3 linked regions of the Notamacropus eugenii genome follow. The protein of the gene in region 2 purifies or fractionates together with the protein of the main gene of each other region. This does not show direct contact. Links are inferred from orthologs where the notes say so. Each region holds a gene or a part of one and is shown on either strand. Other genes may lie near its edges.

What was found.
Region 1: the proteins of CHD3 (region 2) and BCL11B purify together in Homo sapiens (affinity purification with mass spectrometry; 3 studies listed by BioGRID and IntAct, with this or other methods). This does not show direct contact. The link is inferred for Notamacropus eugenii from reciprocal best matches to the Homo sapiens genes CHD3 and BCL11B.
Region 3: the proteins of CHD3 (region 2) and ZNF219 purify together in Homo sapiens (affinity purification with mass spectrometry; 3 studies listed by BioGRID and IntAct, counting the BioPlex papers as one, with this or other methods). This does not show direct contact. The link is inferred for Notamacropus eugenii from reciprocal best matches to the Homo sapiens genes CHD3 and ZNF219.

What each region holds. Positions count from the first base shown.
Region 1 is NC_092872.1:356,898,415-356,905,779, forward strand, and holds the start of BCL11B (B-cell lymphoma/leukemia 11B), read left to right. Parts: upstream 1-4,358; 5' UTR 4,359-5,172; coding exon 5,173-5,230; intron 5,231-7,365. UniProt on the Homo sapiens protein: Key regulator of both differentiation and survival of T-lymphocytes during thymocyte development in mammals.
Region 2 is NC_092873.1:78,011,625-78,019,429, reverse strand, and holds the start of CHD3 (chromodomain-helicase-DNA-binding protein 3), read left to right. Parts: upstream 1-4,789; 5' UTR 4,790-4,830; coding exon 4,831-5,095; intron 5,096-6,094; exon of another isoform or gene 6,095-7,805.
Region 3 is NC_092878.1:12,818,528-12,826,462, forward strand, and holds the start of ZNF219 (zinc finger protein 219), read left to right. Parts: upstream 1-4,924; 5' UTR 4,925-4,959; coding exon 4,960-6,532; intron 6,533-6,823; coding exon 6,824-6,955; intron 6,956-7,285; coding exon 7,286-7,899; 3' UTR 7,900-7,935. UniProt on the Homo sapiens protein: Transcriptional regulator. Recognizes and binds 2 copies of the core DNA sequence motif 5'-GGGGG-3'. Binds to the HMGN1 promoter and may repress HMGN1 expression. Regulates SNCA expression in primary cortical neurons.

The sequences.
Region 1 (7,365 bases), on a different chromosome or scaffold from region 2:
ATTATTTTTCCACTTTAAAGAAATTTTTGACACTTGCTGATTTTTAAAAAATTAAGACAGAATATTGAAAAGCCGTATTTCTTTACTTTAAGCCGTTTTCATCATTCTTCAGGATCAATTAATTTTTCTAAAAGGAAAAGTCCTTGACTGAGTGCCATCTGTCAAACAGACTAGTAAACTGTCTTTAGTCACTAAAGCCAGAGTGAATACACGTGCAACCTGTACTTCTTGTAATTTCCACAACATGTTAATTTTCACGTTCTTTTTTTGAAGTACCTTTTATTATAATCAAACCACTGATAGATCAAAGGCAGGGTGAGGGAGATCCCTGGAACAAGAATGAAAATAATTCGTGGGACAGAAACATTTCTGGTCCCAGTGCCATTGTAGCTGGCAGTGCTGGGGGAAAGAGTGGAAGAAAAGGAAAGGCGGTGGGGTAGGTGGGGGTGGGGGGCGAGTTCAGCTCGCCCCGGGAGAGAGGCTAGTTCTTCTTGTTTGTCTGCTGTCACCGATTGTGACTTGATATCGACAGAGTGAGAAAACAGAACAGTGGGCCCAGCTGCAGACGGAGGCGGGGTCGAGGGATAGGTCAAGGTTGGAAAAGAGACTGCTATTGATCTGGCTTTGAACGCGAGACAGGAGAGCAAGGAGACTAAAGGGGGAGCTGTGAGACAAGACATTAACAGCTTTCAGTGCTAATGATCACAAGTGCCAGACGGGGGAGAGAAAAAAAAGAAGAGACTGGAGCAGCAGTTAGGCTCTCTCTCTCTCTCTCTCTCTCTCTCTCTCTCTCTCTCTCTCTCTCTCTCTCTCTCTCTCTCTCTCTCTCTCTCTTTCTCTCTCTCTCTCTCCCTCCCTCTCCTCTTCTCTCTCTCTTTTTTCTATATTTACTTTCTTTTTCTCTTCTCTTTTTTTCTTTCTCCTCTATATTTTCTTTCCTTCCCTCTCCTCTCTCTCTCTCTCTCTCTCTCTCTCTCTCTCTCTCTCTCTCTCTCTCTCTCTCTCTCTCTCTCTCTCTTTCTCTCTCTCTTTTCATTTTTTAGGGGCAAAAATAAAAGGGCACACCTTTTTGATGAAACAGGCCAGATACCTTATCAGTGGAAGCAGAGAAGGCACCATCACACTGCCGGGATAGGCACTGTGTGCTCCCCACGCCTAGTTCAGGTTTGAGAAAGTAATAAGGAAACTCACCCATGGGTTTATCATTTATTTATCCCAGGTTCCTGAGTGAAATGCCCACTGACAGTCACTGTCTGAAGCTGCCAGCGACTTCCTGGTTGGACATGCAGAGATGGAAAGAGGATCCAGGGAAGAAATAAGGAAGGAATTCCAATTACTCCCCCCCCTTCGTAATTCCATCCCAAACTTAAGGGAATCCTGCTGAGGTCTGGATCGCTATGAAAAGTGCTTTATCTCCCCAGAGAAAGGTGAATTCTTCTCACCCTGTGGATCACTTTTCTGATGTCCCGTTGGCCTCCTTTTTCGTGTTTCCTTCCCTCTCAGAAGAACCCACAGTTTGTCTTCTCCCTCTCTCTTCCTACTCAGGTCTTGAGTTTCTTGGCTTAGCTTGTGGAACGATTTTATATCACCTGAAAAAACTACAGTTAGGTGACATCAAATTTCTCTGTGTATTATATAGGAATGTATATAGCATATGTATGATATATATGTATACAAACATACGTATTTTGTGTATATGTGTTAGTATAAAGGGGCATATATGTATATATATATGTGTATATACATACATGTATATATATGTGTGTATATATGTTATAAACAAAAAACAAGGAGACTGAAGTGCGTGTGTTCTCAGACTCCTAGAAAGGGTAAATAGATTCAGGGTAGTCAGTCTAAGGTATGCCTCTGAACTTTTTGGAGAGGTGTAAGCGAAGGGTCATTTTCTTTGAACACAAGCGGCATTCCTAGAAAGCTTTCCGTGACCCCCGACTCATCGATCATCTTGACGTTAGGTGAGGCGGCAGCTTTTCAGACTTCAGGTAAATGGAGGTAGGGCATGGAAAGATTTATGCAGAAATCTCTCTCTCTCTCTCTCTCTCTCTCTCTCTCTCTCTTTCTCTCCCTCCCTGTCTCTCTCTCTCTCTCCCTCTCTCTCTCTCTCCCCCCGCCCCTCCCCCCCGCCCGCCTCCCACGGTGGAAAAAAGCCCCTGTCCCCCGGGGGCGCTGTCTCTCCACCTAAGCCTCAACCCTGTGCCCTACAGTTTGGCCCTTATGATCTCACCACCCGGTTCGGCTCTACTGGCTCACCTCCTAGCAGAAGATGCTACTCATTCAAAAACTGCGCCCACCCCACCCCCACCCCAGCCGTTCCCCCTTGCGCTCCTCACTCTGCCTCCGGCGCTATCATTTGAGAGCAGTTCACATCTCCCCCCTCCCCCCCATTCGATTGTTTGCATAACTTTATGAGTTGACTAATTTTTTTTTTTTAAAGTAGAGTAGGATTTCTGGACGCACTCAAAATTGCTACGAGCAGTTACTATCCAGGATGCTAATTTCCTTTATAGGACCCTAAAAGCAAACAAATAACTACCACCCCACCACCCCCAGCCCATAAAGAATGAGGGGGAGGGGAGAAAAATAAACTGCTTAAGAGGTGCTAAATGCATACTACTTCTTAGCTGTTTGTGCAGACTCGCTTCTGAGCTGGTCCCTGAGAGTAGAGAGGGGCGGGGAATGGAGAAGGGGGCAGCGCTGCCCCGGAGGCCTGGGCCTCCCAGGTCACTGTCTGGAGTGCTGGGAATACGAAGTGTAGGAAAAGGAAGGCTAGGAGTGAGAGGCGAGTCTTAGAGAAGGCTTGCATTTTAAACCTCCCTGGGGACCAAGGGAGGTCCCAAAGTGGCTTATCCTCCGCTTAACAAAAGTTATCTTTCCTACGCCGTAGCCCTGAAAGCCACCTATGGGGAAGGGGAGATGAGAAAAATAGGCTGAAATGAGGAAGGTGGAGGGTAGAGTTCCAGGGATTCTACATACAGACACATACACATACACTTTTAGCCTGGGGTTCGCAGCCCTGCCTTTTTCCGGGTTTGGGCCTTGGAGTGATGCCTAAAAGGTAGTTGTATCCTTCCCAATTAAACTAGAAGGAGACAGGGAAGACTTTTAAGGGCCGTATAAATATCCCCTCTTCTTTAGATGGGTAGTGTCAGACATTCTACTGCTGAGAAACGAGTTTCTTAAGGGTATTTTGTGCCTCTCTGGCAGGGGATTCCACAGAGAGTCATGGTTAAGGGACCACGTTCAAGCTCCTCTGTGCCTTGAATTTCTTCACGAGCCAAAAGTGAATAGATAAAGGATGCCTCCGCCACCCTGCCAGAGGCATCGAACTCTGATCAACATTACAACCCTTATCTTTGCCCCCCAAACCCCCCCCCCCCCCCAAACGCTCTATGCAGATTTCAGAGTAATTGGGAGAGGGAAGGGAATGTTTGACACGAACTGACTTCAAGTAAGGAACTAGGATGAGTGTCTTTCGGGGAAAACTACGCTCAGACCGGGGGTGGGGGGATGGAAGGGAAAGAGGAGGGGGAAGGCAGATTACCAAAACAGGAGTCTCATAAAATAAGGAAGACCGCACTTCAATCTCGGCCAGAACTCTCCCTACCTCAACCGACCCCTCCGCCCTATATACAGCACTGAGGTTCTAAAAGAATCATTTTCTAGAAGAGTTTTAACAATCTTTCCTCTCCCTAAATAACTCTATACCAACCCTCAAAGAACCCACTACCTAACTTACTTGACTGGAATTTTTTTGGCGGGGTGGTTAAATAATTGGCCATCCCCCTTTCTACCTCTTCCCCAACCCGTCTCATTACAACTCCAACTATTTCCAAGTTGCTTCATATGCTCTCCCCCACATCCAAAATGATATCTTATTGGGGGGTGAAAGTGAAGGAGTTTTCCACTAGGAAAGAAGACCCTAGCTGTCGGGGTTTGTATATCTTCCATCTCCTATATCCTTCCATCAATCCAGGGTATTGCCCGCAAGAGTGGTGGACAGGTGAAGAATATTTTGTCATAATTACCATCATTTAAAAAAAAAATTACGAATTCCCCTCTGTCCCCCCAAACATGTACCATGGAAAAGCAGAAGCGCACAAAAACCCGATTTGTACATGTGGTTGGGTTGGTGTGTGTGCATGTGCGCTCGTGTGTATGTATGTGTGTGTGTGTGTGTTTTCTTGTTCTCTTGCAGGGTACAATGTTAAAAAGCCACCACTAGTCGCCCCCAGTGCTCCGACTCTCTGGGTCTTTTTGTCTCTAGTGCAGATTAAACGTCACGTCCGCACTTGAACTTGAATTTTATCCCATTGTACAGAGGCAGCCCCAGCCATAGAGAGACAGAGAGCTCCCAGAGAACCTGGACTCCGCCATCTTCACATTGCAATATATATTTATATATATATATATAATAGTAATAGCTCGCACCGACCCAGCAGCACTGGGCTACCGTCCTACCTTCCTTCCCCTGTGCCAGGCGAGGGAGAACAGTGCAAAGTGGTGCAGGGACTCTGGGAACCCAAGGCATAGGGCGAGCGTTCCAGGTGAACTGGAAAGGAGACACTACTGAGCTGCCCCCCAAAACCAGCCAAAAGGGTTAGTGTCAGAAAAAATTGGGGGGCACTTTTATGTTTCTTTTTTTTCTTTTTTCTTTTTTTTTGGCAAGGGGCGGGGGAAAACAAGTCCCAAGTTTTATTTTATTTTATTCTTTTTCATATTCTTTTTTCCGTCCTGGTGGAAGTGCGCTTTCCACCTACCAGAGACTTTGGAGAAAAGTGTCACGGGTTGGTGCAAAATCCTCTAAGTTCAAGAAGACATTTGGAAGTCCAAGTGGCCAAACAGTTTGGAGAAGTGAGAGACAGATATTTTTTTTTCTTTACCTCTTAAATTTTTTTTTTCTAAATATTGGGGGGATTTCATCTAGTGCACGACAACAACAAGAGTTTTTTTTCTTTCTAAAATTTAAATTTGAAAGTTTTTTAAACTAGAAGAACAAAATAAAGAAGAAGAAGAAGAGGAGAAAAAGGGGGCAAGAAAGAAAGAAGGAAAAAAAGAGGCGGGGAGCAGCAGCGGCTTTAACCTCCACCCCCCTCCCCTCTCCATTCCCCCCAACCGGTACAGCTCTCCGGGCGATGTCAGTGTAAATGCCAGGCAATGTCCCGCCGCAAACAGGGGAACCCGCAACACTTGTCACAAAGGGAGATTATCACACGTAAGTCTCAATTTGAAACTAGAAGAATTAGGAGCCTAGGGCTCCGGGGGTGTTGGGGAGAGGGAAACGGATTGGGAGAGTGTGTGTGGGGGGTGTCTTTAAAAAAAAGTCTTGGGGAAAAAGAGGAGGGGGTGGGGGAGAGACAGCCGAGGCTGATGTTAGTCATTGGAAATCGGAGGGGAGAAGGGGGGATTGAAAGGCTGGGGAAAGGAAGGCTGGGGTGGGGGGAGGCGAGAAAGCTTAAAGTTTCTTTTGCATCGGGGTGCTGCCGGCAGCGTGGGAGAGACAACCGCGCCGCCGGCTTTGGGGAAAGATGCAGCCCGGGAACGGGCTGGAAGGCCGGGCCGGGGGGTCGGGGGGTTTGCAGGGGAGAAGGTGTGTGTAGGGGGCACTTGGGGTGGATTGCACGGTGCACGGTGTGTGGCGGCGGCAGGACTGGGGAGGGGACGAGAGTGGGGGAGAGGAGGGGTTTGGGTGAGGAATCTGTGTGGTTTTTTTTAGGAGGGTGGATACGCAGAGCCTGGAAGTGGGGGGAAAAGTTGGAGCTTGGCTGACCGGGGGAGGAAGCGGGTGGCTGCGGGGCTGCGCTCAGGGCCCGGTTCTTGGGAGAGTTGGGGGAGACTTGAGGTAATGGCGCGGGGGGGAGGGGCGCGGCGCGCGGCGGCAGCGGCGGCGGCGGCGGCTGCCGGGGATCCGGGCAGGCAGGCGGGCAGGCAGCCGGGGAGGAGCCCTCTGCGCCCGCCAGCCAGCCCGCGGGAAAAGAGTCAGGTCCTCGGGACTCTGAGCCTGGAGAGGGGAGGGGAGCCCAGGCTGCAGGCCAGTGCAGCTTTCCAGGTGCTGCAGACCAATCCACCCCCCCCCACCCCCAGCAAAACAACTGAACTTGGTAGCTGCTTGCCCAGCCTCAGCACCCCCCTACTTTCTCCCCCCACCCCATTTCCCCACCTCCGTGTCTCCTGGGATAATCCTGCTTTCTTTTCCCCCTCCCTTCCCCCCCAAAAGGTGGGGAGACTTGAGCTGTTGAAAAATTCCTACCACTGGGAAAAGTATGTCAGCTAAGAATGGGAGAGATTGGGGTGCACCTATCCATCTAAAAGTAGATACCTATCCATCTATCATCTATCAATCGAATCCATCTTCTTCCCTGTCTAAATCAACACAAGCAAAGATAGCCCTCATTTGCAGTCAACTACACTGAGAAAGCGAGTTGCTGGGAGGATAGATTCACTTTAGGAGAGCCAAGTCTGGAAACACCATGTGTAAGCTGCAGTTTCCAACGCTCTTGCAAAAAAGAAAGAGAAAGGAAGAGATAGAGAACAAAATAGACAAACGTACACAAAGGTAGACGGAGGAAAGCCTCCCAGACGCTGGAAGATGAAGTCCAGGCTCTCAGTGGCACCGGTGGCCAAAGGTCTGGCTGCACCTCCTGCCGCACACAAGCTTTCTCCCTTTCTCTCTAGCCCTCTGCCTGCAACGCGTGCTTCACTTCTCAGCCGCGCGCAATTTTTTTTATTGCAATAGAAATAAAACATCCTCTGGGTGCAATCAGGATCCGAGGCAGGTTGTTTTCTCGCAATTCACCATAAACCTATTATGGTTGTGGCCAAAACGCCCCGGCTGTGTTCGGGAGGGCTGTGCGCCGAGCAGCCGAGGGCTGTCTGGAGACGGTGGAAATGCGAATATTTATGTTATATTTTTAAAAAATTTAAATAAATAAATAAAGATATAAATAAATAAATAAATATATGGGGTCTTCCCCTCCCCTGAAAACCAAGAATAGAAGCCATCTGCTAGGAGCTTTGGGTGTTGCGATCTGTTCTTTGTTACAGAGAGAAATTTGTAAGAATTTGGTGGATTATTTTTTGAAGGGGGGTATGGGAGGGATATATTTGAGTCGCGTTTGGCTTTAAATGGGGATGACCTTTTTGGAGGGAAGGGGAGGAAGCTCACTTTAATTTTGTATCCCCCCCCCACCTTTGTGAGAACATAAATGAAGATTCAACCTGGTTACATTGTTATTTAAAAGAAACAAAATGTTTCGCAACCAGATTTGAGCTTCATTTATTTTCTTTTCTTAAAAATAAAGGTACTTTAGGCTAATTGACATTTTCTTCTTTTACCGAGGAGTAACAATC
Region 2 (7,805 bases):
CCCTTTTCTGTTCCCCTTTGAATATAGAAATGCTCATTTTATCGTGTATTAAGTTCAGAATAAAAAATATGTAATTGTTATGTTATAGAAAGATATGGATACACACACATCTATGCATATGTAGATGTAGATAACTACATATGACCCCTTTCTTTTTTTTACTTCCTTGGAAGGTATGTGCCCATTGGTGGAATTGCTAGGTACAACTATATGGACAGTTCGGTAACTTTTTTTTTTAATTATAAATTATTTTCCAAATGGCTGGATAAATTCACAGCCCCCTCAGAAGTATATTCATGTGTCTGACTTCCTGAAGCCTCTCCAGCATTGGCTATTTGCATCTTTTATCATCTTCGGTCATTTGAAAGGAGGTGAAGCCTCAGTTTTAATTTCAACATTTTTGTTATTGTTCATCTTTAGGACCAATTTTTGTATCATCATCATTAAGTATTTCACTGATTCTCTAGATGATTTTCCTATCTTTGATTTAAGTTAGCTTTTATTATTAGCACTGTAATCCCATAGAAGATAATTGTCCAATTTCTAGTTTCTACTCATTCCACTATACTTGTGGGCTTCCCTTTTCTCTTCAGTTGAGCTATTTTCCCATTTTTGATAGAGATTAACTTCCCCCCTTATAGCCTTTAATTAGTTATGTATATTTGGGGAGGCACAATGACAAACATATACAGGCAAGAGATACTGACAGAGAAATTGGCAGTCAGGTAAGAAGTGGGCCCGTGCACAGACAGAACAGAGGGACAGATAATAGAAATACTATCTCTAGGCACCTACATGGAAAGAGAGGAGAAAACTGTGGAAAGATTGATCTGGAAAACAGAGAAGTACAGACTATAAGAAACCAAATAGAATGGCTGTCAGCGGCAAGCAAACACCGAGAAAGTAAGACAGACAGATGGACTGACATAAAAGACAGGCAAAGTGACAATCAGCCACACAGAAAGACTATAAGGGAAAAGCATAATGGAAATGAGAGTTGCAGGAAAACTAAACAAGACAGGCAGTAAGATGGGCAGGCAGAGACAAACAACAGAGGTAGCAGGTAAGCAGAGAGATTTAAAGACTGAGAGACAGAGGCAGGCAGTCAGAAGCAGAGGCAAACCAAAAGGCAAATGAGTAAATAGACTAAACAGAAGAAAGCAGAGAGAAAGAGAGGCAGGTGAGCAGACAGGTGGGCAGAGAAAGTGACAGACAGAGTCAAGGACATCAGAAATGATACACCAAAGGAAAGGCAGACAGACAGATGGAGAAGGCAGATGCAAAGAGGCAGCAGGAAGAGGGCAAGCAGATGGGGGTGGGTAGAGGGATAGGCAGAGGACTGAAACAGAAATAGGGGACATGGAGTGGATGAGGGAGACAGGCAGGGGCTGAGGATACTGACAGGAAAGGTAGGAAGAAAGGAAAGACAGACACTCAGACAGGCTAAAGAGAAGCAGATAAATGGAAAAAGCAGATAAAACGGGGAGGAAGAAGCAGGCAGATGCTAAGAGAACACACAGACCAAAAGGCAAGCCTGAAAGGTACAGAGGACCTTTCAGAAAAGTAAAGCAAAGGAGAGGAAAATAGACAAGCAGAGAGAGATGTTTGCTGACTAAAAAAAAAATCTAATGGGGAAGGCTGGTAAAAAAAAGAAGACTGAGAATTACAAGAAATAGGTAGTCAGACAGATTAAGAGATGCAGGCAAGCAGACAGTAGCTAAATGAGGGCAGGGAACAGACAGTGGGATGCTAGCAGGCAGGTGGGGTGACAGAATGAGAGAGAGAGGCTGACAGACAATAGACACAGACAGACACAGATTGACAATAAGAGTTTATCAAGCAGAAAGACACAGAAGCAAGTAGATAGGCAAGGCAGAAAAGAGACCAAGAGATGCAGGCCAGGAGGCAGACAAGACAGCCAGAGAGAGGAAGGCAGACATGATAATAGCAGCAAACAGGAAAGAAAGTAGGCACGCAAATAGAATAGAAAGGCAAAAATCAAAAAGACCAGGAAGCAGGCCTGTTGGTGGAAGGGAAGAAACAAGTAAAAGAACAGAGAAGGAAGCCTAACTCACAGACATATACTCACAGAAGTGCTCCCACAGAAACACCCTGAGACACATACTCTTAAGCACCCATATCCAGAGATCCTGACATTTAACCCCAGACGCACAGGCACAAGTAAACATACATGAACATACTTAAAACCAGATGCACACATGCAAAGGCAAAGGAGACAGAATATAGTATACACACATGCTCTTATGCACACTATGACCCATAAGCACATAAAGACTGATATACACAGCCAGAACAAAATGATAAACAGATAGTGAGTCCAAGAATCACTGAAAGATGACAGTTGAAGAGTTACTGAGACAAGAGACAGCATGAGAGACAGCCCATGAATGAAACAGAAACAAAGGGACAAGCCCACACAGAGAGACAAAAAATGAGGGAAACTCCTTACACAGAGAAAAAAGTAAGAAACATATATTTTACACAGATATACAAAACTAAACAGAAACAGAGAGCTTGAGACGTAGAAATAAAACCAAGAGGCCAGGATGGAGAGTTGGGCTGAGGCTAGCAGAGAAGGAGACAAAAGATATTGAAACCCAGATTAAGAAAAAAAGGGAAACTGAGGCCCATAAAGTGAAGGACAGAGCCCTAAAATGACAAATTCTTGGCCCTCAAGAAAAATTATGCAAAAGTTCATCCTAGTACCTGTGGGAACATTTTTTTATGTGCATCTAAAGAGAAGTTGCAGTTGTCTGAGCTGGAAGGTTATGTCTATAGTATGAAGTAAGAGACTCATGATTCTAGGCATGTTTCAGGAAAAGATGCAGAAAACAGAACCGATAAGGAAGGGGCAAAATGAGGTCTGTGGGAAAGAAGAGAATCACGACTGGAAAGGGGTGACAAGCTCAGAGCTGAAGTAATCACTAGTCCCATCCCTTTCTCTACACCCCCATAATGGCAGTACCTCTGTCAGCAAACCTTTTAGGGGAAGTACTTCTCTTCTTTATTGATATCCCAGGTACAGAGATACTTGGTGCTTCCTCCTACCTGAGTGCAGGGCTCCCTTCCTACCCCAACTGACAAGCTCTCTTGAAATTTAACTTAGCTTCCTTGTTTGATTCACTTAGGTAGCCCCTAAAAGAGAGGTTTCTCCTGACCCCTTTCCAATTTCCCCCATCAGTATCTCATTCCTATTTTAAGAGGCCGTTTAGGTTGAAGAACTGGATGAGACAATCAGATACAAAGGTCTGATTGCATCCTCTTCTCTTTCATTTTTTCTTCACCTTAGCTAATTTCCTCTCACCTACTGTACTTCAATTTCTTCCACTTTGATGGAACTGAAAATGGGGGTGAATGAAAGAAAAAGGAGTCTGTATTGGAGAGGAGCAAATAAATTTTTTTTCTTTTTCAGATCTTGGTGCTCCCCATCCACAGCAAAATCCATTCTCTGTACCAAGATTTCATAGTAAGTTTATCTGGGAGAAAAGGAAAATGAAATGAAAATATAATTTAAAACAATTGTAAATTACTGAAATGATTTCAATAAAGAATAATCAAACATAAAACTCAGATTGAATGAAAAAACTCAGATTGCTTTCCATTCTCCACCCCCAAAGGGTTTCTATCATTAAAAAAGAAAAAAAAATCTTATAAAATACGTAAAGTTAAATGCATTTCAACTTTAACAAGGTATATGTATACGTATATATATGTATTTGGCCAGATTTATATATAAATATATGTATTTCATCTTTTTCCTTGACAATGCCTGAAGGGAGAAAAAAAAAACCCTTCACATCAAACCACTCCCTTTCTGAAGTACTTAAGGAAAAAAAGCTTTTCTTTTGAGGAGGGAGGTGGAGAGAGAAGAGACTAGTATAGAAAAGAAAATTTTAAAATCTAGTTGGACTAGTATCTAACTAGTTAACCTTTAACAATTTATGCTGATGTCAGACTGAGCATGAGTACTGATTAATGCCCCCCCAAATATTTTTATAGGTGTGTGTTGGGGGGGGAGGTTAGTCAGCAGCCATTTTTGTTTTATGCAGAAATCCTTCATGTTTCTTCCCCCCCTTCAATACACAAGGAAAATATCTATTAATCTGTTTACTAATCAGCTATGAAAAAAGGGAGACTTTTGTGGGTTTCTGGGTAGAGAAGGTTTTAGAGATGAGAAGGGGGGAACTGGAAGCATTTCTGTTGGTGGGGGTGTTAGGGGATGGGGGCTGAAAAATGAAATATTAAGCCAGCCATTTTGTTTTAAAAGCAGATTTTTTTTTTCCTCTCTCTTTCTTCTTGGAGGGGGTGGCGGTGCTGGAGGGGGGGTTGTTTTAAAAATAATTTCAGGGCGGCCATCTTAGTGCTTCAGCTCTAGGAAATATTTCTCAGCGCCCCCCTCAGAATTTCAATATATTTAAAACAACGAAGAGGGGAGTAAGGGGGGGAAGAGCAGAAAAACTTTTATTCATATAATATATATATTTACCCCCCTTTCTCTCTCTTTTGGTCTCCCAGGGAAGGGGAGGAGAAAGTCCCCCCCCTTTAATTTTTCTCAATAGTAAATTGTTTTTGGGAGGCGGTTTCGCCCCCTCCTTAGACAGAAGGGTGGGGGTAGGGGGTGGCCCGGGGGTTTGGGGGGCTGGGGGAGGAGGTGAGTTGGAGGAGGAGGACGACGACGACGAGGAGGAGGAGGAGGAGGAGGAGGAGGAGGAGGAGGAGGTGGTGGTGGTGGTGGTGGTGGTGGTGGTAGTGGTGGGGGAGGCAGGCGGGCGGTGGGTGGGGGGGTGGTGGGGGGGCCAGAGCTACAGGATGGCTTCCCCTCTGAGGGACGAGGAGGAGGAGGAGGAGGAGATGGTAGTGTCTGAGGAGGAAGAAGAGGAGGAGGAAGAAGAGGGCGAAGAGGAGGTGGAGGCGGCGGATGAGGACGACGAAGAGGAGGACGACGAGGGAGTAGTCGGACGCGGGCCGCCGGGGCACGAGCGGGGCCGCGGCCGCCACAGTCCCCCCAGCTGCCACCTCTTCCCGCCGCCGCCCCCGCCCCCGCCGCCCCCGCCGCCCCCGCCCCCACCGCCAGGTAAAGACGCGAGCGGAGGACACCCGCCGAACTCCCCCCCCTACTCCTGATCGCCGCCAGCCCAAAGTTCCGAAACCGTTGGGCGCGAGAGGGGGCTGGGGGGGTGTCGGGCAGGCGCGCGCGGAGGAGCAGGGGGTGGGGGTGGAGAGGAGGGCAGGGGAGGGAGCGCGAAAGGCACCCACCGCGCGGACGGAGAGGAGTCGAGTCCGGGGGCGCGCGGACGACGGAGCAGCCGGCCCGCCTGCTTGGCTGCCCCCCCACTCCCTCCCTCCCCGCCCGCCCGGGCCTGAGGCCGGGAAGCTTTCCGGGCCGGTGGGCCGACCTGCTGGCCGAGCGGGCCTCGCCTCCCCTCCCCCCGGCCAGCCCCCTCCCCCCGCTCTGGGGGGAGCCTCCGGCCGCGGCCGCGGCGGAACGCCGGGCGCCAGCTGAGCGGGCGCGCGGACGGAGGAGCCAACTCTTGGTCGCAGCCGGAGGGGGAGGGGAGGGCTGGTGGTGTGTGTAGGTTTGTTTCCCCCTCTTTTCTTCCTCCCTTCCTTTCTCTTCTTCGGGGGATTAGGAGCGATCGAACCCGAGACGACCCCCCCCACTCCCGCCGCGCATTCGGGCCCCGCTTGAGCTCCAGACGTCCCCCCCCTCGGCTGGCGGGGGAGGGGGAGGCGGCGGCGGAGAGTGGCGACGGTGGCTGTGGTTCGGAGAGTTCAAGCCCGTTTGGGGTTTGGCTAAATGTAAAATTAGATGGTGTCCGTATGCGTTTGTGGGGGTCGGCGTGGGGCTTGGAACGGGGGAGGGGTCCCCCCGACCACCCGAGCGCTTGTGTCCGTGAGGGCGCAGGGTGGCGGGGGGACTTTGGACACTCGCCACTGACTGGCCCGTACAGCCCCTCTCCCAAGATCTTGGAAGTGGGGGTGGGCTGGGTGCCTTGAGGGGAAACCAGATACACCCACCGACAACTCCACCTCTTTTGATTCCTTCCCTTTCCCTCCTCCTTGTGATGGTAGGCCCCTCTCTAGCTAAAGGGTGTGTATTCACCCCGGGACTCCCCCCTTCTACTCTGTGAGCCATTGACCCTCTTTTGTCCTTGAGTGACCCCACTGCTGTGGTCCTGGGGCCCCAGGGGTTGTGACTTCCCTGCTTGCCCCCATCACAGTCACCTCTGTGAGAGGATGACTGAGGGATGTGGAACACCTCACCTCCTGTGGTGTTTGTTACTAGAAGTCCCTCACTCCCCTCCCCAGTTTTCTCACACGGGCAGCTTTAGTAACTGTAGCCACTGCTTCGAGGTAACAGTTGCCTCATCAGAGACTCAGTAGCCACCCCATCTCAGACAGCCTTGTGTGGCTAGTTCCAGAACGTAATGTCAGCTTTACATGTAGAAAATGACAGATGGGACACTTTGATCCCTGTGCCTGGGAGCAGACTTCAGTAGCCTTATAGATTTAAAGTTGGAATGGAACTTAGAGGTTATGGAGTCCAGTCCCTTCATTTTAAATACGAGGAAACTGAGTCAAAGAGAGGCTAAATGACTTGACCAAAGTCACACGAGTTGCAAAGAGGTCTAGCTGGGATTCTGACTCGAAATCAAGTCCTCTTAACTACACCATGCTGCCTTACTTGTGTTTGTTTTCCAGCCCCTATTGATGAAATATGCCCAATGTTCTTAATACTGAAATACAGATTAGCGCCATGTATGGCAGATGTGCCTGTATATACTTCAGCTGAACAACAAAAGACGTGTGGGGGTGGGGGGGAGACGAATAGGAAGGAAGAGGGTCCAAAAGGGAGAGAGGAAAGGAGTGTCTTAGTGAACATGAAATAATTCATTATTTTCCCCCAAGGTCTTCGAAATAGGAAATAAGTAGAAAAAATTACCTTGTGGGGAACACGTTTTTTTAAAGTGCAAATGGGAGAATTTGGGAGACAGGTGTCAAATTCAATTAAACATTTATTCAGCACCTACAGTATATTTGCAAAGTGAGAAAGGAAAGAAAGGAGGAAAGATGGGATTAGGGGATGGATTCTTTCCTTGTCTGCTGAGTTCTCAGGTTAGATAATCCTCTTTGGTCATTTTCAAAACTAGGCTAATAAAAGAGGGGAGAGCTGGGAAAGAAAGCAAGAAAGAAACCGTCAGAGGTTGAGGTGTGTCTTTGTTTGGCTCCCTTTGCTCCCTTCTTCTGAAGCCTATTTACCTAATAAATAAGCAGATGTTTGAAGATAATAAATTGTTTCATTTTGGATTTGGAATTAAAAATAAACATTATTCCCTTCTATTTAAGGCAGTTTTGCCTCTGCCTAACCCTTCAGATTTGCGTGAGTGAAACATCCTTGTTGGGTAATTTATTGATGTAAAAAAAACTTTTGGGGAAATATATTTTAGCTCCCCTTCCTTTTTTGTCACCCCAGGTATGAGGAAGGCAAACACCAATCCTAAGAAGTTTGACCCATGTACTTAACTCTCTCCTTCTGGCCCAAACTCCCAAGTGGAATATGAATTTGTAGATTCTGTAGCTCTGTATTGTTTTTCAACCCTGACTGATTTTCCCTCATCCCCATTTTGTTTCACATTCTTAACTGAGTCCAACTTTACCTCTTTCTCCTCCCACCAACCTCTGTACATTGTTCAGTATTTCAAATCCAAAGACTCCTGTGGGGGGAGGGGAAAGAAGGGAGCCAAAACTCAATTTCTTTCCCCTCCCCCTTCTGGCAAGTATAA
Region 3 (7,935 bases), on a different chromosome or scaffold from region 2:
GGCCGGGGCCGCCTCCTGCCCCACACAATGCGGGCCAGGGGCGGGGGCGGGGGGACCGGAGAAGGGGGAGGGGGCGGGGGCCGGGCCCGGCCGGGGGCGGGGGGGCCGGGGCCCAGCGCATCTCCCCCGGCCCCACGTAACGCTGACGCCCGCGCCGCCGGCCCGCCGCCCGCCCGCCCGCTCCGCCGCCGCCCCGGGCTCGTGAGTAGCCTCTCCCCCCTTCCCGTTCTCCCTCCCCCCCATCCGCCATCCCGGCGCCCGCCCCAGGCCCCCTCCTCACCCCCCAGCCCCGAGGGGGGGGCGCTCCCCGCGCCCAGCTCGGAGCAGGTGCAGGGGGCGGGGGCGGGGGAGGGGCGCCGGCTCGGCCCCGAGCAAACTTCGCCCGGAGCTCCCGGAGCGGGGGCCGGCCGGGGAGGCCCGGGAAGCTGGGGGCCCCGAGAGAGGTGGGGTCCAGGTCGGGGCGGCGCGGGGAGCGGGGACCCCGGAGGAAGGGCCAGGCGAGGGGGAGCGAGCGTCTTTGTAGGGGCCCGGAGGGGCGGGGAGGGAAGAGGAGCGGAGAGCCGGGGGCGCGGGGCCGGCGAGGTTGGGGACCCGGGGGTTGGTGGGCGATCGGGGGCACAGGTAGGTAGGGCCTGGGGCTGGGGAGGGGGCGAGGATCCGACCTCTCGGCTCCGGGCTGTGGGGGTGGGAGGGAAGAGCTGGGGGTGGGGGAAGGACTGTTTCTCTCCGAGTCCCAAACAAAGTGTCACAAAGAGCTCGGCCCGCCGGCAGCCGAGGCAGCGGCTGAAGCTCCGCTTTTGTTCTCCCGAGATGGGCTAGTCGAGCCCCTCGCCGCTCCCTCCAGGACTCTGCCCCCAATCGTTTTGCCCACCTCTTCTCATCCGTCTCGGTTTGGGGCGGGGGTGGGGAGAACCTGATGAGAGCCCAGTCCAATTTGCCAATCCAAGTACTGGCAGGACAGCAAGGGGGCTCTTCCCCCCCGAAGGCTGTTCAGACTTCCATCCGGGGCAGGGGGCTCCCATCTAGTGGAGGGATTCCAACCAGGATATAGTCAGCTTTGGCTGTAGGAACCTAGGGGTTTCACCAGTCTCATCCCCTCGTCAATCAGGAGGCCTTGTGAAACCACCAGAATCGGGTCAGGATGGGGTCTGGGTGAAGGCCAAGACTCTGGGGCAGTTCCACTGATTGTGGCCTGAAATTGGTACATCTTACTCCCTCCTGTACTGTTTAGGTCCCAGAATGAAGGCCCACCCCAGAGCAGTGAATCTGGAAAGAGAGGACCTTTACTCTATGCTTAGGGATACTGAAGCTGAGTACCCCTATCATGAGGGGTGCCAAAGCCTTGGTTCATTGGGTCCCTTTAGCCACGCATGTTTAGATGGTCTTGAGGGGGAACCATGGCATCTGAACTGCTGGTGGACTGGGGTAGTCAGTAGGGCCCTGGGCTGATATTTCCTCACCCCACCCCCCTGCCTTATAAGCCCTATTGTGAGCAATTTAGCCTCAGCATTGCCTCTCAGGCAGATTTGGGGTCTGGATTCTACGGAGAGTTCAAGTTTATAATACAAGTTTGAAATATATATGTTACTGGACCCTAAAAGTACTAACTTAGAGTGCACTTTGATCCTAGGTCACTGGTTGGCAATCTAATACTGAAGGATGGCATGAGGGCCAATCTTGGTCATTGCCTCTCTCTACATGCCATCTCCCTGTATCTGCCCCTCTCTATCCATTAATAGTTGGAGGTCCCTGTCCTTCTAAATCTCCAATTCTCCCACTATACTACACTTGGGGGCCAGTAGTATGGCAAACAATTTAAGTTACTGATTCCTGTCTTAAGTCATATGACCTCTTTAGAATTATACCAGTGAAAAAACATTTATGGGTTGTCAGGGACAGAAAAGGTCTGTGTGTATATACGGGGAAAGGGGTGGAGAGTGGGAATGGAAAGTTGCTTTTCTAGATCAGCATTGTATCAGTCATGACCTTTGAGCCTTGAATTAGTCCAAACTTTATGGGAAATACACTTTGCTGTTATACCTAGGGGGTACATCCATGAGCTTTCTATGGGACTTCAGGCCCTGTTTCAAAGAATCTAGGACTGTTCTAATACAGTTTTAGATTGGGATAAATTCAGAGGACCACAGTATAGTGATAGCTCATGGTATCAAAGTGGACCTAGGTTGGCCTCTGTTCATTTCCAGGTCACTATTTTCTTAGGAGAATTTGATCTATTTAGGAAAATCCTTGGTGAATTCTAATTTTAGATTATTTAGGTGTTTATTTAGGGCCCTTTTATATGTCTAAGCACTCTTGAAATATTATTATACTTGGAGATCATATTTCCCCATCACCACCTTGAAGACTGCCTTCTGTGATAGTTTCTCCTTCCTAAAAGTGAATTTCTTCCAGGCCTTTTGAGCTCTGGTCCTGCTTTTCTTGCACCTTGACAAGAATTCCAGAATCTTTTCAGGGCCTAGGAGGCATGGGAGGGAAGTTCACAAAATGTCTGGTAGTTAATGGGTTCTGGACATTCAGGATCCCCACCCCTTATCATCTGGTTTCTCTAAATATACAAGATTGGTTCAATACCAGGATATTCTGGAATCCCCAAGAGAGCTCCAGAATGTGACAGCTTTAAGAAACAGATTCTTCAGTTACTGATACCAGGATGTACAAACTGTAATTGATGGAGACACTGCTCCTCATATCTAGTAAATTAATCCAGTTTCATTTATTTTCCATGACATTTAAAAATGTTTTCAGTGGCATTTAGAAGTACAAAAGACCCCTCTACTATCTCACTTTTTCTTTGGTGTATAGATGAGAGATTGCCCTCTTTCTGGTTCTCAGTGCCCTCTCTTGGTGTTGAGAGGACAAACATGGCCACTCTGATGTATACCATTTTCTTTTCTGTGGTGCTGAGGTGGCCAAAGGTACCCCTCTGGTAGTCCATTGTACTCTCCATGGTACTGAATCTTGCTTCACTTGTTCTGCTTCCTCTCCCAAACCCAAGAGGTACTAACTGTAACTCTCTTTAGGTTCTTTCAGGTTCTTGGTCCCAAGGAAAAAAAAGGGTTTTTTCCTGGTGGTTTCAAATTGGATTTGGGGAGAAATGTTAATGTTAGGAGTGAGACACATTTATCTGTGGGCTCAGTGACCCCACAGACTGGCATTCCTTTGTCCCACATTACACTAATAATAAAGCTCCCACAGCCTAAAGAGTCATAGATCCCAGATGGAGGCTCAGCACATTCCATATAGAATTTCTGGACATGCAAGGTCCTCCAGAGGTCATTAAATCTCTATCTCAATGCAAGAATGATCCTCCCCTTGCTCAGATAGTCCTACCTGTTATTAAAAGTCAAAGGGAGGAACATGGCTCAGCCTTCATTAGTGACACATTTCAGATTCACAGCCCTCACTATAGGGAAATTTTTTATAATGTGTCCTAGGTTAAGTACAGTTCTGGGTAAAGGCAGGAATATAGACTGGGTGATCTCAGGTTATCTCTTCTACCTGTTTGGGTAATTCTGTATTTTGGTGTGGTCAGTCAACATGATATAGCAGAGATAGATTTGGCCTAGGAATATAGACTTAGGCTCTAAATATTAATTTCATGATCTTAGGCAAATCCCTTCACCTCCCTGAAACTCATTTTCCTTATCTGTAAAATAAGGAGGTTGGGTTAGGTTCTTTAGGTTCCCTTGCAGCTTGGAGATTGTGTGTTCAGTCTCAGATCCCTAACACTGACCTCCTTTGTAGGCTAGAGTGCTGCCTGAGTTTTCCTTTCTGTGCAACGAGCTTCCCTGAACACTCCAGCAAGGATGACCAGGCCTTGAAGTCTTATCCTGGAAAACTTTAACCCTTTCCTTTCCAGACCATGTGCTGGGCCTCTTGTCTGTGCAGATGGCTCTAGCCCCGCCCCTCTGCCCCACACTCCAGGCTGTAGAGCTCAGAGCCTGTGTAATCCTCCTCTTGTGTGGGGGAACCTCTCCCCTGCAGAGATAAGGAAAGTCTGGCTTGGAGCAGCTCTGGACAAAGGGGTTGTGAGGTACCATCAGGTCTCAGTCTCCAGGGTGCTAAAAGCAAGGGAACGTTTTTTATCAGGATTTTCCACTTCTGATTTCTTTTCCCAGACCAGAAGAACCCCTTCGCTCTCATTCTTCCCCAACTGTTTTCCCATCCCCTTCTCTGTTTCTGTCTTTCCCCCCTCATGCCCCTCCCCCTCTGTCTGTCTCCAGACTTGCTGCTACTGCTGCTGGGAGGTGTTTCTCTCCCATGCATGAATGAGTCTCTGTAATGAATGGAAATGAATGGAGCAGGAATCCAGGCAGAGGGAGGGGGAATGAGGGGGAAAGGCAGAAAGACAGGGTTCAGGCAAAAGGAAGGGTAGACTTGGCCAGCTTGATAGGCAATGGCTAAACTGAGGGAAGCTTGACGGAGAGAGGGAAATGCCCAGCCCAACTTGGAAGATGTTGGGGAATCATGAGACCCCACTCCCTCCCCATCCATTGAATTGTTGCATGGGATAGACTCCAGAATAACTGGCGGAAGTCAGCAAGGGAGGGGTTGTGTTTGGAAATTCTCACTTACTGCTTGATGGGCTGGGGGATCAAGGGTTGCTTTCCCCTTCCCCCCGAAGTTGAGGGGAAAAGAAAGGACATCTACATTGAGTTTTGGAGGGGGAAGAGTCCCTTTTTTTCATTGTGGTGATCAAAGTTCACGTCTTCCACCTGGAAACCTGTGATCTCATATTGGGAATCTGGCTTTCTCTCTCTAGCCCCCTTGCCCCAGACGCTTCCACCAGAGGCTTCCCCTCCTCCCTCCAATCCCTGGCACCAAAGAATGTGAAGTGAGCCCATGGAGGTGAGTGATGCCGCCGCCCCCCCCAGGGCACCGACTGCCTGAGCCGGGAAGCAGAGTTGGGGGTTGGTTTGGGGGGGGGGGGTGGAAGGTATGCTACTCGGCTTCTCTAATTCCTGCCTCTCTCCTCTCCCCTTGGGGCTCTGCTGTCCCTTGATCCTCCCTTTTCCCGCCCCCACAGTTCTTATCTTCCGGTTCCCCACTTCCCTCTTCCTTGTATCCTCTCCTGACCCGACTCCTCCGCTCCTGTCTTGGCAGGGCTCACGTCCTCGCTCCCCGGGCGGCCCCCTTGCCCTGCCGGCCTTCGAAGGCGAGCTGGACCTGCAGCGCTACTCCAACGGGCCGGGCGTAAGCGGGGGGCCGGCGGGCATGGGAGCGGCGGGCTGGCCCGAGAGCCGCGGGAGCGGGCGGCGCTTCCCGTGCCCGGTGTGCGGGAAGCGCTTTCGCTTCAACTCCATCCTGGCGCTGCATCTGCGGGCCCACCCCGGGGCCCAGCCCTTCCAGTGCCCGCACTGCGGCCACCGCACGGCGCAGAGGGCCCTGCTGCGCCTGCACTTGCGCTCGCACCAGCCGGAGCGCCCGCGCAGCCCCGCCGCGCGCCTGCTGTTGGAGCTGGAGGAGCGCGCCCTGTTGCGGGAGGCCCGGCTGGGCGGCGCGCCCTCCCCGGAGCGCCCCGCGCAGGCCCCGGCCCCCGCCCCGGCCCCGACTCTACCTGCCTTCCGCTGCCCCTTCTGCAAAGGCAAGTTCCGCACGGCGGCGGAGCGTGAACGCCACCTGCACATCCTCCACCGGCCTTGGAAATGCCACCTGTGCAGCTTCGGCTCCAGCCAGGAGGAGGAGCTGCTGCGCCACAGCCTGACAGCGCACGGCGCCCCCGAGCGCCCCCTGGCAGCCGCCTCGGCGGGGCCCGCGCCCCTGCCCCTGCCCCTGCCCCTGCCCCTGCCCCTGCCCCAGCCGGAGTCCGAGGCGGCCCCGGAGCTCGAACCCGAGCCGGAGCCGGAGCCCGAGCCCGCGCCAGCCCCGGCCACCGCCCCCGAGGAGCCTCCGGCGCCCCCCGAGTTTCGTTGTCAAGTCTGCGGCCAGAGTTTCACCCAGTCCTGGTTCCTCAAGGGCCACATGCGCAAGCACAAGGCCTCCTTCGACCACGCGTGCCCCGTCTGCGGCCGCTGCTTCAAAGAGCCCTGGTTCCTCAAAAACCACATGAAGGTGCACGCCAGCAAGCTGGGGGCCCTGCGTGCGCCCGGGCCCGGCTCGGGCCCTCCCCGGGCTCCTCCCCCTCCTGACCTAGGCTTGCTGGCTTACGAGCCCCTGGGCCCCGCGCTACTGTTGGCCCCGGCGCCTCCCCAGGGGGATCGAGGCGAGCCCCCGGGTTTGCTGGGCTACCTGAGCTTGCGCGCAGGGAAAGCCAGGCCCAACGGGGAGGGCACCGAGCCTGGGGCTGGCCGGGGCTTCGGGGGCTTCCGCCCGCTCCCGGCTCGGGAGCGTCGTCCCCGCCTGGAGGAGCAAGATGAAGACGACGAGGAGGTGGTGGTGGAAGCGGAGGAGGACAGCTGGACTCGGAGCAGGGCCCTGGGAGCGCTGGCTTCACTTCCTAGACGGCCAGGGGAGGGCGCGGGTCATCCTGCCCCTCCCGCGGGGGGCCAGTCCCGGCCTGCAGCCTCCCAGGGTATGTGTCTGTAATGAGGAGCGAGTGCGACACCTCCTTCCCCGGCAGCGGTGCTTCCTTCTCCTTTCCCTTTCTGCATTTCAGATCTTCCATTGTCCCGACCTCTAGTTCCCACCTGCCCATTTATCTTCCTGGAGGCAGCATTGATTCCCCTCTGTCTGCCCCCTGTTCCCTACCGTTCGCTTTCCACTCGGGTCTTGTAGAGTACCCGTTTGCAGTTTGGAGAGACAGTAGGGGGAGACGCAGCTGGGATCTTAGCCTCTTAACTGGATTCCTTAACATGTGTTGCAGAAGAGAACGGGCTGTTAGTAGGGGGTGCGCGGCCCGAAGGGGGCCGGGGAGCCTCGGGCAAGGACTGCCCCTTCTGTGGGAAATCCTTCCGTTCTGCACACCACCTCAAAGTGCATCTGCGGGTGCATACAGGTGAGATGGGGGGAAGGTATCTCAGAGGCCTGCGAGGGGTTGGAGAAGGAAGAGAGAAGCGTGTGGGTTTGGGAGGATGAGGGGCATTTCTTGCCCAGACCTGCAGATGGGTGTGGCAGACGTTTTATGGGGGATTCACGGATTATGGGGGGAACTTCACTAGTGGGTGGGAGTCACGAGTTTGAGGGCAGTCCTGAATCTTTAGAGGAGGGGACTACCCTGCACATTTTCTGCTCTGCAAGTCCATGAAAGGGGAAGGGAGTTGAGGGAAGGATAAGGGACTCCATTGGGCACCTCCCTCTCCCCTACTGAGTTCTCTGCCCTCTGCAGGTGAGCGCCCCTACAAGTGTCCACACTGTGATTACGCTGGTACCCAGTCGGGCTCCCTCAAATATCACCTGCAGCGTCACCATCGAGAGCAGAGGAGCGGAGCTGGACCGGGGCCACCCCCGGAACCTCCGCCCCCACCTCAGCGGGGCTCAGCTCCATCCCAAGGGGCCAAACCCAATCCTGCGCCCCCAACCTGGGCAGAGGGCGCCATGGGCTCCCGCCTCCCTTCCAGCGCCACTGCCCCCTCCCGTCGTAAACCTGTGAGCCCTGGGAGGACCCTGCGCAACGGGCGAGGGGGCGAAGCCGAGCCTCTGGACCTGTCCCTGCGGGCGGGGACCGGAGGTGAGGCCGGGGCTGGGGGCTCCCTGCACCGCTGCCTCTTCTGCCCCTTTGCCACCGGAGCTCCGGAGCTCATGGCTTTGCATCTGCAAGTGCATCACAGCCGTCGGGCACGGGGTCGCAGGCCCCCCCAGTCCGCTCCCTCCCCTCCCTCCTCCGCTTGCGTCCTGTCCGGGGAGTTGACTCCCAGCCCTCCGCAGGATGGGGATGGGAGCCCCGGGCTGTCCCGACCGGGAGAGGCGGCAGGGGCTGGGGTGGGAGGGCAGGAGCGGTAGGGAGCCCATTTAGGGGCAGGTAGCATAGACAGAGCG